Pelodiscus sinensis: one gene and its partner. The protein of the gene in region 2 interacts with the protein of the main gene of each other region in a pairwise test. Links are inferred from orthologs where the notes say so. Each region holds a gene or a part of one and is shown on either strand. Other genes may lie near its edges.

What was found.
Region 1: the proteins of TEX11 (region 2) and ATXN3 interact in binary tests that used the Homo sapiens proteins (3 or more experiments, as listed by UniProt). The link is inferred for Pelodiscus sinensis from reciprocal best matches to the Homo sapiens genes TEX11 and ATXN3.

The regions. Positions count from the first base shown.
Region 1 is NC_134714.1:30,852,955-30,860,886, reverse strand, and holds the start of ATXN3 (ataxin-3), read right to left. Parts: upstream 3,029-7,932; 5' UTR 3,014-3,028; coding exon 2,973-3,013; intron 2,425-2,972; coding exon 2,346-2,424; exon of another isoform or gene 2,221-2,345; intron 1-2,220. UniProt on the Homo sapiens protein: Deubiquitinating enzyme involved in protein homeostasis maintenance, transcription, cytoskeleton regulation, myogenesis and degradation of misfolded chaperone substrates.
Region 2 is NW_027465980.1:262,880-270,542, reverse strand, and holds the start of TEX11 (testis-expressed protein 11), read right to left. Parts: upstream 3,050-7,663; 5' UTR 2,919-3,049; intron 2,909-2,918; exon of another isoform or gene 2,784-2,908; intron 1-2,783. Other genes in the region: nuclear cap-binding protein subunit 2, read left to right, coding at 3,333-3,419, 4,151-4,332, 4,687-4,825, 6,095-6,193. UniProt on the Homo sapiens protein: Regulator of crossing-over during meiosis. Involved in initiation and/or maintenance of chromosome synapsis and formation of crossovers.

The sequences.
Region 1 (7,932 bases), on a different chromosome or scaffold from region 2:
CATTCATATAGGAACATTTCTGGTTTTTCCCAGGTAACAAGTGGAAAGTGCAGTTTGCTCCATTCCTCAATCTGGCTATGGAGTGCAGATGTGCCTGGACCAGCTGCAGCCAGGGGACATCCACCCCCCTGGAGCTGATGCAGCTCCAGTAGGTGGAGGGTAACAACCATAGAGAAGGACTTCTCACCTGGCCCTAAGCTGCTGCACGAGAGCAGTTCTTTCCCCAGGGAAGCCTGCATACTGTACCCCCAGGTAATAATTTAAAACAGCGTTTCCCAAACTATGGGTCGCGGCCCAGTACCGAGCTGCGGGAAAAAAATACCAGGCCTCAGCATGGCTGCCGGGAGAGGAGCAGAGCGTGGTGGGCTGGGAGGAAGGAGGGAGGAACCAGCCGCTGGGAAGCAGTGCTGGGGGCAGCGGGGCTGTCCCGGTGGAGATCCGGGCAGGTGGGCAGGCAAGCGGGTGGCCAAAGCAGGGCTGGGAGCGGCGGGGCTGTCCCACAGAGATCCAGGCGGGCAGGCAGGTGGCAAAAGCAGGGCTGGCGGCAGCGGGGCTGTCCTGGTGGAGATCTGAACAGGCAGGTGGGTGGGCGGCCAAAGCAGGGCTGGAAGCAGCAGGTCTGTCCCGCGGAAATGCGGGCAGCGAAAGCAGGACTGAGGGAGTGGGGCTGTCCCGTGGAGATCCGGGCATGTGGGTGGGCGGCGGAAGCAGGGTTGGGGGCAGCGGGGCTATCCGGTGGCGGAGATCAGAGAGGGCAGGTGGCGGAACCAGGGCTGCACGGGGGATAGGGGGAGCTGGCCGGGGGAGATCAGGAGGAGGAGGACGGGAGAATCAACTGCCAGAAGCAGGGCTGGACGGGGGTAGTGGGGCTGGTGTGGGGGAGAAGGGGGGTCATCAGGGGAGCAGGGCTGACCGGGGGAGATTGGTAGGTGGTGGGTGAACCGGCTGCTGGAAGCAGGGCTGGACAGGGGCAGGAGGGCTGGACTGGGGAGATCGGGAAGAGAAAGGGGGGAAGCGGGACTGACCTGCGCACATGCAGACCCTGCAGACCCTGGCAGATGAGTGAGTCTGGCCGGAGATTCCATTTTGCCCCCTCTCCCCCACATACCCTCCCTGGAGTAGTTGCGAACTGCCTGGCAGGTAGACACACTCAGACTGCGTAAGCACATCTACCAGCCAGGCAGCTAAGGAATAATACACCTAATTATAATAAAATGTACCTAATTAGAAAATACCAGGCATTTTATATGTCTGGTAATTTCTTTCCCAGACAAAACCTTCAAATACCGGACTGTCCAGTACAAAACCAGACACCTGGCAACCCTACCCTTCCTTCCACCCTCCTTCCTAGCCAGATACCCTACCCCCAATCTGCCTGTGCTCCCGCCTCCTGAAGTGCTCATGTGGCGCTGGGTCCCCCAAGCCCTGGCCCAGGCTGGGTGGAGAATGTAGCCGGGTGAAACACTGAAAATTTATTCATTTTTCATTCTTTTTTTTTAATATGCGTTTATATTTTTGGACTTCAAAAGACAATACTGAAAAAAAACAGATTCCAACTAAAGTAAAAAGTTTGGGAAACCCTGGTCTAGCTAGCTTTCTATCCATCTTACAGTCCATTTATCCAATCCATATTTCCTTAACTTGCTGGCAAGAATATTGTGAGTGACTGTATCAAAAGCTTTGCTAACGCTGGCACTGGGGGCTTTGGGAGGACCAGAAACAACTTATCTGAATATTCATCTTTTGCTTATTGAATATGCAAATGAACGTTACCAGTCCTCCAAAAGCTCATGAATAGATTTACTGGTCCCCGTGTCAAAAAGTTTGGGAACCCCTGATTTAAAAGAAGAAATGCAAAAATTAATTGAGTTAAGGATCCAACGATACCAGGTAAATCTCCTAATGGTAAATAATGAACGGGACAGATCACTGACTCAGAGCAATTGAGTTCCCTTGGTAAACTGGCCACAAGCAATCAATATGCATTTCCATATTGCCATATGTAAATACATACATCTGGGAACAAAGAATGTATGCCATACTTTCAGGATGGTGTACACTATCCTGCACAGCAGTGACTTTGAAAAAAGGTTTGGATGCCGTGGTAGACAGTCAGCGAGACATGAGCTTCCAATGTAATGCTGTGGCCAAAAGAGCTAACACAATCCTGGGGGCCATAAACAAAGGACTCTCAAGTAAGAGTAGAGAAGTTTTTCTTGCCTCTGGTTTTGGTACTGGCACAACTGCAGCTATGATATTGTTTCCAGTTCTGATGTTCACAATTCAAGAAGTGGGTTATCCAAAGAGCCACGAGAATAAGCAAAGGATTAGAAAACATGCCTTACAGCAGGGCTACTTGGCCCACAGCCCGTTTGTTTGTGGTCCGTGATGAGGTTTGGATTTATGCAGGGCTCAACAGGCGGCCTGCAGGTGGGAGCCAAAACAAAAAAGTAGTCAATATAATGGTCTTCTGCTGATATGTGTTTTAGTAATCAAATTCCTGGATTGTCATTACTCATTAAAAGTGCTGTCATATAGATGGAAACTAGGTAAATATTGCATTTTATTAATATCAGCAGAACTGACTTAAATGGGGTCTGTGTGTTGAGTAGTCTTGCCTTAATTTTTGTATTCATGCCCCTCAACGTGAAAGAAGCTATCTGCATGTCCATGCAACCACACTGAAGTTGCAGCCCTTGGCATATGCTTTGAGAATCATTGCAGCCCCGGGGTCCTCCAAAGCCCTGCCTTACAGCAACACACTCAAGGAGTGTGATCTTTTTATCTTAACAAAGAAATGGTTAAGGGGGGCCATGCTCACAGTCTATAAGTACCTACATAAGGAACAAACAACTAATAATGGGCTCATCTGTCTAGTAGACAAAGGTAGACATGACCCAATGACTGGAAGTGGAAGCTTGACAAGTGCAGACTGAAAATAAAGCATACATTTTAATGCAGAAAGTAATTACCCACTGGAACAATTCACCATGGGTGGTGGTAGATTCTCCATTACTGTCAATTTTTAAATCAAGATTGGATGTTTTTCTAATAGATAAATTCCAGGAATTATTTTGGAGGAAGTTCCACCTACATGGGAGGTCAGGCTCACTAGATGATCACAATGGTCCCTTCTGTCTTTAAAATCTATGAAAACAGATGTCACAACAGAATAGAATATGTTGCTTATTGCTTCAGATATTTAACTAGACTATGGGACAGTGCCCCCTGCTTGCTATGCTCACCAACCCCCCTGTCTCTGGGGGTAAGCAGACCTGGCTCTCCTGCCAGTGAGGGATGGGGCCATGTCAGCCCTAGCCTTTTGGATCTCCACCCCCGGCCACAGGTTCCACACTGGATTTGGCTTCTGGGGAAGCGCATGTGCTGTTATGGGATGGGAAGGGGAGGGGAGGGAACTGGGGCCTGGAGCTCCATGGCCCACAGTCCACCCCCCCTTCCATTATTACCCCCATACCCCTGCCTCCATTCATATACCCACCATCCTCCCAAACCTCTCAACCTCCCCATCACCTTCATCCATCCCTATCCTCACCCCCTTGGCTCCATTCTTACAACCATTGTCCCTAGCCCCTCTCCCCCCCTGCCTATCCCTACCCTCCCATCCTTCTCTAACCCCTCCCCTTCCATACCCCTACACTGCCCATCCCCCTGCCTCCATTCCTATATCCCCCTTCACCCCCATCCTCCTTTACCACATCACCCTATCCCCCTTCCTCCCTCCCTCCACACGCTCTGCCTCTCCCACAAATGGGAAACCTAACCAGCAAGAAAACAGCACCATTGGCTTGGCAGTTGCTCCAAACACTGCTGGGCTGTCCCTGTGTGACCCCTCAGGGGGCAAGGGAATTAGCCTTCCAACTTGAGCCATATGGAGTCCTTTGGGTGGGGCGGCAGCATGTGAGGGAGGGGGTAAACCACCAGCCCATGTGGCATGGAGTCTGGGGCGGGGGAGGGGACAAAGGCCCAATGGGGGCAGCATGGTGGGGAGAGAGAGCTAAGCCCCCAACTTATGCCTCATGAAGCTGGCAGGGGTGGGGTGTGGGTGAAGGCCCCAGTGTGGGGGGAGGTGTTCAGTGGGTGGGGGAACCCCTCACCTCTGCGCCCCTTGGGAGCATTTCCATGCAGTCAGTGACAAAGGAACCTGGCATGCCCCATGCACTGTAGGACTGAGCTAGGTATCCTGTTGGCAGGAGGATGCAGAGAGCCAATCCACCCCCACTTCCTCCACCAGCAACCCACAGGCAAGGGCACACATCAGGGACACAGACATCTCTGCCTCTATTCTTCTCAAGTGGCTCCTGGCTGTGACCCAAGGCACCCAGGACCAAGTGGGCAAAGGGAGGCTGTGAAGTGGCTGCCACACATGGAGTTAGGCCACCCTGCTTCATAGCTGCCTACTCCCCAGCTCAGCTCCACCACTGCCTGCTCCAAAGAAGCTTGAGTGGCCACAGGCTAGACAGCACCCACCCCCAGCTCCCTATAGCTCCACTTTTCCATGTGACAGATGACTCCACAGAGCCCGGGGGTGAGAGAGGCTGGGGGAGTCAAAGTGACAGACGACATCACTCTGTCATCCCGCTGGAAACTTTGTTTTTATATATAGATGTTTTAATTCCACCTCAGTAATCTGGATTACTACATTGTCAAATAGCAAATGTTTTCATAAATGTATACACGTTTCTTGTACTGCACACTGATGTAAAATAATTGCACCTTACACTACTTAAACAATAGCAATTCCTGTGCAACTTTGATCTTATTAATACTACTCTACCTATTAATCTAGTTTCAGCAGAATTACTTTTTTCATTCCAAGTCTGTGAAGCCATCTTTCCATAGGAACTTATTTTAAAAACAAAAGAAGTTGTGGTTTTTTAGGTTGCCTTCTTTGGAAGGGGCATTTAACTCAGATAGGAACTAGTTTGGTTTGATTTAGTTACTGTATCTCTCAGTAACTAGAGCAACCTACATTTACAAAAGGAAGTTTATTAAGAATTATAGTATGAAAAACTTGTTATTGGTAATGATTAAAGTACACAAGACATAAGCAAGACATGGGAATGCAATGGTATGGAAGTTACTGTTTAGGACTCTGAAGGCAATCATGAATAGCAGAAGTATTTGCCATTGGAAACAAAATATTTAGCACTCATATGGTGCTTTACATCTTCAGAAACACAGTACTAACATTAAATAAAAGTCTTCACAACACCTACTTTGAAACAGGTTTCATAATCCCCACTCTGTACATGCAGAAACTGAGGCAGAGAGAGGTTGCTATGAACAGAGGCACAGCAAGATGGTGCCAGAAGTCACAAATAAAACCCACATCTCCCACTGCTCATCTTTATAAGCATTTCTCATTTTAAGCCATTCTTCAGTCTCAAGAGAGTAAAAACTTCATTCTGCACAATACTATTTTTTCTGTACTTTTTAAAAGGTTCTAGAAATAAAACCTCACCATGGCAAACAAACTATATAAAAAGGAGTAGTATGGACACTGCTTGTAACCACCTTTGAAAGGTACCTAGATTTCTTCTAAGGTGTAGCTGGTTGAACTGTCATTTTACCTGGCTTTCCCCTTCCACTCGAGAGGAACCTCATCAGCACTAAGTTATAGAAGAAGGCAATATAACATCAAGATCAATGTGGATAAGGCAATGGAGTCAGGTAGTCGCTTTGGGAAGCGTTAAAAAGACAGCTTCAAGTACTACCCTGCTCCAAGTCTTCCACGGGATAGAAGAAATTCATCAGCCTCCGCATCCAGCCATGGGCTGCAACCCCCCCCCCTCATTCCTTCGCCCCAGGCACTGCCACTGACTAACTCCCCTCCCTACGAAGGACTGTAGGACCTCTCACCCCACCCCACCCTTCCTCTTCTCCTCCAGCCCAGCCCAATCATCAGCTGCTACCCAATTCTCTGAAATACCCTCCTATCCCCCCGTCCAACCTAGGCTGTCAGCTCCGCCCTCACCGCTCCCGCCCCCCGCTCAACCAAAAGTACCCCCTCCCCCACAGCCCTCTCACCCTCTCGTGGAAGATGGCCTCCATGTTTATTTGTCCCAAGCCAGCAACCTCCACTTCACGTGACTACACCCCAATCTCAGTACCGCCAATCATCGCAGCTGTCTCGCACCCCTTCACCCTCTGCCTTCCACGTGATCTTACCCCGACCAATAAACCGAGGCCTGTCCACCTCCCTGACAGTCATGTGATCACAACATCCGTGCCTGCACTGGAGTCGGGAAGGGGGGGGGGGGCGGAAGTGGTTTTAGAGCTCGCGCACTGCAGGTCGCTGCAGTTACAGCCTCAGATCCGGGCTCGTAACTATTCCAGTCAGAGATTTACCGGCGCTTACAGCCAGTCGATGAGCCATGCGGTCCCAGCTGCGTGCACTGTAACTGGCTAGAATTGTGCGTCCTTCCCCCGGTGTCTCAAGCCCAGGTTGACCAGCAGTGGATGGAGATGGTCCCGCACCTTTGTGGTATTTTAAGGAGGCGGCAGGGTCTGTTATATGTGTACAGGTGCCAGGCCCCCTCAAAATCGACCCTGTTCTGTATGGTGGTAACTATTGTTACTTCTTAGCTAGCCACAGTATTATTCTACACCAACTCAGAAATTAACTCTGATAATCTGAAGAAGTGGGCTGTGCCCACAAAGCGCATGATACCATCTACAATACGTTTTGTTAGTCTATAAAGTGCTGCTAAACTATTTGTTGTTTTTGAAGTTTTTCCTGTTACAGACTAACGCCGCTACTCCTCTGAAACTTCAGAAATTAATTTAAATCACTTTCAGAGTATATTATCCCATTTCCCATAATTGGCCATTCAACTGAAGGGAAAAATTGTCAGCTGGATTTAGGGCATTTTAATGAAATTAGGTGGAAGAAGCCTCCCTCAGTAGGCCTTATTGCAGTCGCTGTGAGTGGGTACCACTGATAGCACCAGACAGATATTTGACAATGAGAAGTGTTAACCATAGGCAACAGCCAACTAGAAACACACTGGTGCATAAAATATTAGTATTGAAAGGAGGAAAATGGGAATGGGCTCTAGCAAAAGATAGGCGCATGAAGATAGAACAGAGCAAACAGAAAACAAAGAGATAGGAAAGGGTATTTTTAAGAATAGTAATAGAAATGTAGCTGTGTTAGTCTGGTCTAGCTGAAACAAAAACAGTACTATATAGCACTTTAAAGACTAACAAGATGGTTTATTAGGTGATGAGCTTTCGTGGGCCAGATCCACTTCCTCAGATCAAATAGTGGAAGAAAATTGGCATGACCATATATACCAAAGGATACAATCAAAAAAATGAACACATATGAAAAGGACAAATCAAATTTCAGAACAGAAGGAGGATGGGGGGGGGAGGTAAGTGTCTGTGAGCTAATGATATTAGAGGTGATAATTGGGGAAGCCATCTTTGTAACCGGTAAGATAATTAGCATCCTTGTTAAGACCTAAGTGTCAAATTCAGAGAATCCTTCATGATTAAATTTGACACGTTACACCTAGGTCTTAACAAGGATGCTAATTATCTTACCCATAACAAAAATAGCTTCCCCAATTATCACCTCTAGTATCATTAGCTCACAGACATTTACCTCCTCCCCTTACCCCCTTCTGTTCTGAAATTTGATTTGTCCTTTTCATATGTGTTCATTTTTTTGATTGTATCCTTTGGTATATATGGTCACGCCAATTTTCTTCCACTATTTGATATGAGGAAGTGAGTCTGGCCCACGAAAGCTCATCACCTAATAAAACATCTTGTTAGTCTTTAAAGTGCTACATAGTCTGGTATTTTTAAGATTACAGTAGCATCAGAAATGGGTTAGACTCTTCCTAAATATGAAGGTATAGCTCCTGTCCCAAAAAGTACAAATCTGATCATGCTCAACCTCTC
Region 2 (7,663 bases):
CACGCCACACCCCTCAGCGCCCTGCCCAGGGCCACTGCTACTCCTGACACCCCCCCCCACTCCACACCCCTCAGCGCCCTGCCCAGGGCCACTGCTACTCCTGACACACACCCCCACTCCACACCCCTCAGCGCCCTGCCCAGGGCCACTGCTACTCCTGACACACACCCCCACTCCACACCCCTCAGCACCCTGCCCAGGGCCACTGCTACTCCTGACACACACCCCCACTCCACACCCCTCAGCGCCCTGCCCAGGGCCACTGCTACTCCTGACACCCCCCCCACTCCACACCCCTCAGCACCCTGCCCAGGGCCACTGCTACTCCTGACACCCCCCCCCCCACTCCACACCCCTCAGCGCCCTGCCCAGGGCCACTGCTACTCCTGACACACACCCCCACTCCACACCCCTCAGCACCCTGCCCAGGGCCACTGCTACTCCTGACCCCCCCCCCCCCACTCCACACCCCTCAGCGCCCTGCCCAGGGCCACTGCTACTCCTGACACACACCCCCACTCCACACCCCTCAGCACCCTGCCCAGGGCCACTGCTACTCCTGACCCCCCCCCCCCCACTCCACACCCCTCAGCGCCCTGCCCAGGGCCACTGCTACTCCTGACACCCCCCCCCCCACTCCACACCCCTCAGCGCCCTGCCCAGGGCCACTGCTACTCCTGACACCCCCCCCCCCACTCCACACCCCTCAGCACCCTGCCCAGGGCCACTGCTACTCCTGACACACCCCCCCACTCCACACCCCTCAGCGCCCTGCCCAGGGCCACTGCTACTCCTGACCCCCCCCCCCACTCCACACCCCTCAGCACCCTGCCCAGGGCCACTGCTACTCCTGACACCCCCCCCCACTCCACACCCCTCAGCGCCCTGCCCAGGGCCACTGCTACTCCTGACACCCCCCCCCCACTCCACACCCCTCAGCACCCTGCCCAGGGCCACTGCTACTCCTGACCCCCCCACGCCACACCCCTCAGCACCCTGCCCAGGGCCACTGCTACTCCTGACCCCCCCACGCCACACCCCTCAGCGCCCTGCCCAGGGCCACTGCTACTCCTGACACCCCCCCACTCCACACCCCTCAGCGCCCTGCCCAGGGCCACTGCTACTCCTGACCCCCCCCACTCCACACCCCTCAGCGCCCTGCCCAGGGCCACTGCTACTCCTGACACCCCCCCCCACTCCACACCCCTCAGCGCCCTGCCCAGGGCCACTGCTACTCCTGACACACACCCCCACTCCACACCCCTCAGCGCCCTGCCCAGGGCCACTGCTACTCCTGACACACACCCCCACTCCACACCCCTCAGCACCCTGCCCAGGGCCACTGCTACTCCTGACACACACCCCCACTCCACACCCCTCAGCGCCCTGCCCAGGGCCACTGCTACTCCTGACACACACCCCCACTCCACACCCCTCAGCACCCTGCCCAGGGCCACTGCTACTCCTGACACCCCCCCCCCCACTCCACACCCCTCAGCACCCTGCCCAGGGCCACTGCTACTCCTGACACACACCCCCACTCCACACCCCTCAGCACCCTGCCCAGGGCCACTGCTACTCCTGACCCCCCCCCCCCACTCCACACCCCTCAGCGCCCTGCCCAGGGCCACTGCTACTCCTGACACACACCCCCACTCCACACCCCTCAGCACCCTGCCCAGGGCCACTGCTACTCCTGACCCCCCCCCCCCACTCCACACCCCTCAGCGCCCTGCCCAGGGCCACTGCTACTCCTGACACCCCCCCCCCCACTCCACACCCCTCAGCGCCCTGCCCAGGGCCACTGCTACTCCTGACACCCCCCCCCCCCACTCCACACCCCTCAGCACCCTGCCCAGGGCCACTGCTACTCCTGACACACACCCCCACTCCACACCCCTCAGCGCCCTGCCCAGGGCCACTGCTACTCCTGACCCCCCCCCCCACTCCACACCCCTCAGCACCCTGCCCAGGGCCACTGCTACTCCTGACACCCCCCCCCACTCCACACCCCTCAGCGCCCTGCCCAGGGCCACTGCTACTCCTGACACCCCCCCCCCCACTCCACACCCCTCAGCACCCTGCCCAGGGCCACTGCTACTCCTGACCCCCCCACGCCACACCCCTCAGCACCCTGCCCAGGGCCACTGCTACTCCTGACCCCCCCCCACTCCACACCCCTCAGCACCCTGCCCAGGGCCACTGCTACTCCTGACACACACCCCCACTCCACACCCCTCAGCGCCCTGCCCAGGGCCACTGCTACTCCTGACCCCCCCCCCCACTCCACACCCCTCAGCACCCTGCCCAGGGCCACTGCTACTCCTGACACCCCCCCCCACTCCACACCCCTCAGCACCCTGCCCAGGGCCACTGCTACTCCTGACACCCCCCCCCACTCCACACCCCTCAGCACCCTGCCCAGGGCCACTGCTACTCCTGACCCCCCCCCCCACTCCACACCCCTCAGCGCCCTGCCCAGGGCCACTGCTACTCCTGACACCCCCCCCCCACTCCACACCCCTCAGCACCCTGCCCAGGGCCACTGCTACTCCTGACCCCCCCACGCCACACCCCTCAGCACCCTGCCCAGGGCCACTGCTACTCCTGACCCCCCCACGCCACACCCCTCAGCACCCTGCCCAGGGCCACTGCTACTCCTGACACCCCCCCACTCCACACCCCTCAGCGCCCTGCCCAGGGCCACTGCTACTCCTGACACCCCCCCCCCCACGCCACACCCCTCAGCTTCCCCTGGCCTCCCCCGAGGGCGGGTCACCCACCCCAGAAGCGCTCCCAGGCGACGAGCGCCGAGCCCCTCACGGCCGCAGCCCGCGCTCCCGGGGGAGGCCGGCGAGGAAGGCGACCTCCGCGCATACAATGGCGGGCTACGAGCCCCGCCGGGGACGCACGGTCACCTGCCGCCGACGGGCAGGGCTCCTGTCACGGGCAGCGACACTCGCCTCGCGCCACCTCAGCCAGGCACCGTTTCCCGCCCAAGCAGGCGGCGTCTCGCGCCGCGGAGTATGCTGGGATAAATCGTGCTGCGCGCGCACCCTGCCGCGAGCCAGACAACTACAGCTCCCAGAGACCCAGCGCGAGAGGTGGGCGGTGCCTCGCCACCATTTTATTGCTAGCGGCGGCCGAGCCTAGCGCGCTGATTGGCTTGCCGTGACGTGACGCACGTATACCGCGGCCCCTCACCAATGGGGTTGTAGGCCCGGCCCCCTCGCGGTGAGTAGCAGGCGCTTAGCCAATGGGCTGCTCGGCGCTTCCCTTCCCGGCTAGGCGGCCCCGTGCTGCTTCTGGAAGGTTCCGGGTCCCGGGCCGGGATGTCGGGGGCGCTGAGCGCCACGCTGGGCGGCCTCAGCAGCGACTCCTACTGCGAGATCAGCCAGTACCGCGACCAGCACTTCCGGGTGCGCGCAGGCAGGGCCCGAGCCTGAGGGGTGGGGGCAGGTGCACAGCGCCAGGGGGCGGGGCCTGAGGGGTGGGGGCAGGGTGCACAGCGCCAGGGGGCGGGGCCTGAGGGGTGGGGGCAGGGTGCACTGCGCCAGGGGGCGGGGCCTGAGGGGTGGGGGCAGGGTGCACAGCGCCAGGGGGCGGGGCCTGAGGGGTGGGGGCAGGTGCACTGCGCCAGGGGGCGGGGCCTGAGGGGTGGGGGCAGGGTGCACAGCGCCAGGGGGCGGGGCCTGAGGGGTGGGGGCAGGGTGCACAGCGCCAGGGGGCGGGGCCTGAGGGGTGGGGGCAGGGTGCACTGCGCCAGGGGGCGGGGCCTGAGGGGTGGGGGCAGGGTGCACAGTGCCAAGGGTTGGGGGCAGGGGTGCGTAGCGGCAGCCTGAGGGGATGAGCACAGGACCGGGGGGTGGGCACATGGGTGTACAGCACCGGCGGGGGACAGGATGCACAGCGCCAGGGGGCAGGTCCTGAGGTGCTGATGGCAGCCCAGGAGATGGCAGGGTGCAGTACCCAAACCTGAGGGAGGCAGAAGTGCCCATGCCCTTTGCCATGATTGCCATCTTGCACTTCATTGCTGGAGTAGGAGGGGGAGGTTCTCAAACAGGCAGAAGTAGCAGTTTCACAACCAGTGGGTCAGGCATTCCCTGAACAGTAGGTTGCTGTTTCCATTTACTGTTTGTTGTGCTCTCAGGGTAGCCGATACCTACAGGATAAGGCCCTGAAGCTCTCTTCCACACTGTATGTGGGCAACCTGTCCTTTTACACCACTGAGGAGCAGATCCAGGAGCTCTTCTCCAAATGCGGAGATGTTAAGAGGATTGTCATGGGGTTAGACAAGGTCAAGAAAACCCCTTGTGGCTTCTGCTTCGTGGAGTATCCTTTTCCGTTTTCTGTTGCCATAATTTTTCTGCCACTGCTTTTTGATTAATCGCATCCTGGGTGGATTATATCCCCTCAGTTCTGTTGAACATCAGCATGTTACAGAGCATATCTGGCCTCTCTGGAGGAGCTGGGAATGCTCCTGTGATATGTGAGCAAACATGAAAATTGTGAGCTTTCATTCACAGTACCAAACAGTTTCCCTCCTTCACAGGGTCTGCTATTTCTCTACCATCCTGCCTCAGTCACTGACATTGCTGTGGATATAGTCATTTCTCTCATTCCCTGTATGCAGCTGGCATTGACAAGCTGAACAACACTTTGAGTCTTCCTTATAACAAATTCCAGGTATTATACAAGAGCAGATGCTGAGCATGCAATGAGGTATATCAATGGCACCCGACTGGATGATCGGATCATCAGGACTGACTGGGATGCAGGGTTTAAGGAGGGACGACAATATGGGAGAGGAAAGTCTGGAGGACAGGTAAAGAAAATACTAGCTTCAGCACTGAGCCAGCCTTCCTTGGGACTGGGTGATGGGTGGAGCTACCTTTGGCCGATCCAGTGCAAAGTAGGGATGTTAGCTGTCGGTTAATTGAATTCTTAGCGGTTAGTTGACTATTTTATAGTCCGTGGGGGGAAGGGCCGGCAGCCATGCAATCTGGCCCCACTCTGAGGGAGCCCCCTGCCACTCTGCGCTTCTGCCTCTGTATCAGAGGCAGCAGTGCAGGGTGCCAGGAGGGAGCCAGTCTGCGAGGAGAAACTGTTTAAAAACCAGCTCCCCTTGTGGGCTGGCTGCTTGCCACCCTGCACTGCTCCCTCTGATACAGAAGCAGCAGTGCAGGATTGCAACAGTCCTGTCTGCAAGGGTCCAAGCTCCCTGTGGACAGAGGCTACTGGGAGAGTAGGAGGCAGTGGAGGCTGCCCCAGAGCAATCTCTGTCTGCAGCAACCCAGGCTGGCCAGCGACAGAGGCTGCTCCAGCAGCAGCCCCTGTCCACGGGGGGCTGGGACAGAGGCAGCAGTGTGGGGTATGGGGGGCCGAAGCAGGTGGCACCAGCTCCTGCTTCTCCCTCCCCTTGCTGCTTCAGATACAGAGGCAACGGGGACAGAATGCGAGTAGCCAACTAGATTAACCGACTATTCATTCACATCCTTAGTACAAAGGCAGTCATCCATGGCAGACCCAGTAATGAACTGAAGCCAGTCTAAAATTATTTTAAGATCACTAGAGTAGGAGCATGGTACTTAATGCCTTTTGAAACTACATTCCAAGCTCCCTATGGCCCAAAACAAACCGCTTTGCTCACTTCTCAAGATAGTGTTCTCAAAAGGGTGTAGCAATCAAGGTGGGGAGTGAGAAACAGGATCATAATGGGGATGGTGTGGTTCTAAAGCTAGTTTAATCATCAAATGATGCCTATGAGAAGATTAAAATTTCTTCCCAGATTTCCAGAGGAACAAAGCTTTAGGTTCAGGCTTTGGCGATTCATAAAGATGAACTGCAAAGCAAAACCAAACAGAATTTGGCCCTTCTCTGCTGCTTCATTATGTCTAATGATGGCCCCGCCATTAGAAAAGTCAGGTCTTCCCATCAGTCTCCTTGGTAATGGTTCCTTTGCAAGGTATTTTAAGGGCTTGCAAAGGCTTGTAATCTGAGCTTCAGCCCACCACCAATGTATGCGAAGAGGGTGCCTAGCATGTCTCTGTCTAGCCAGGTGCAGATGCTGATTTGTGTTACTGCTTTGCCCCAGGTGCGAGACGAATACCGGACAGACTATGATGTGGGAAGAGGTGGCTTTGGCAAAATCATTCAGATGCAGAAAACCAATCACCAGACCGTAATCTACTAAATGACTAATCTATCCCAGTACCTAGAGGGATGGTGAGCCTCTGCAGCTAGCTCTGGCCTCACTCTTTGGATGGGGGTGTGATTGGAGCCAGGTTCCAGCAAAAGGCAATACGAGACTGGCTGTTCAACATTTGTTCATTTCTCATCTCTCCTGGGCTGGAATGGCTGATCTATTGTGATACAGGGCAGCAAGAAAATAGAGTGGCCAGCGCTGCAGAATTTCTCACTAAGAATAAGTGAGACATGTCCCGCTCAGACTTCTGCCTCCAAGTTGTCATTGCAGCTGTGGTTGCTCTCGAGCACAGATTTCTGAGAAATACAACAGCCATCAAAGCCCGCCTTTCTGCTTGTGCAGCTCTGGGACAGAGGGAGGAGTTTAAAATATGTAATTTACAATCTTGTTTGCCTCTGTAAAGCATCATTCCTGATATAAATTAGGGAAGCAAAGCAAGATCTTACTGGCCACTTGCAAGTGCTTGTCTGAACTCTGGACCCTTTGCTCAGTAAGCCCTGCAGAGCCTTAGTCTTTGCTGTATCTGTGATGCTGCCTGCTGTTGCAGAGCGTCACTATTACAATGTGGTTTTGTTTGTGTCTGGGTTTTTTAAATAAACATTAAGTCCTGTACCTGCTGCAGTTTGCGCTTCATTGCCATTGGGCATGTGGCAGGGCTTTTGGGGGACACAACCTGTTGGCATGTCGGCTGCTCTCTGACCACAGTGGGGCAGTCGTCCTGTTTGCTGTGATCTGGGTCTTCCTTTTGGTGCTGGCCTCATTTGTCTTCCCATTGCACTCTGTGCTAGTAGCGGGTTTGTCACCTCGTGAAATCACCAGTAAAGTTACACTTTGCTGTGTGTACTAAGATGCGAAATTAGTCCTCAGTTCCCTGCATCAGTGAATGCCAGGAAGTTTCCCCATTTTCTGCCATCGTAGTGCCAAGTCCTGTAGCATAGAGCACATGAAGCATCATGGGGCCAGACCAAGAAGCAGGAGCTGCAGGGCATACTGCTCTTTCTTGAGTCCTCCAGCTGGAGAAAGGGAAATTACCCTAGCATACAGTTCCTGTAACGCATTCCTGCATAATGAGGTGCTGTAACAGTTTCTTCTTTTGCATTAAATCACATACTTTAGCAGCTCAAGGCCTCTGAACTTCAGAGGGAAAAATGTCTGCCTCTGTCCTATTCAGTGGCAGGACACAACCAGGCCTCCAAGCACACTCTGAGTTACCCAACAGCCCTGATAACTAAGGAGTAATTGCCAGAGAAGTGCTTACACAGGCACAAACAAGGAGTCCAGTGGCTCCTTGAAAGTCTAACCATTTTATCAAGTTATAAAGTTTTTGCTTGTTGCAACTCACTTCATCAGATGCATGAAGGGAAAGAATCAGATGGTAGAGAAACAGAGATGGGAGCATTACATCAGCACTAATTCGATCAGGGTGGATGTGGCCCACTTCCAACTGTGGTAAAGTGA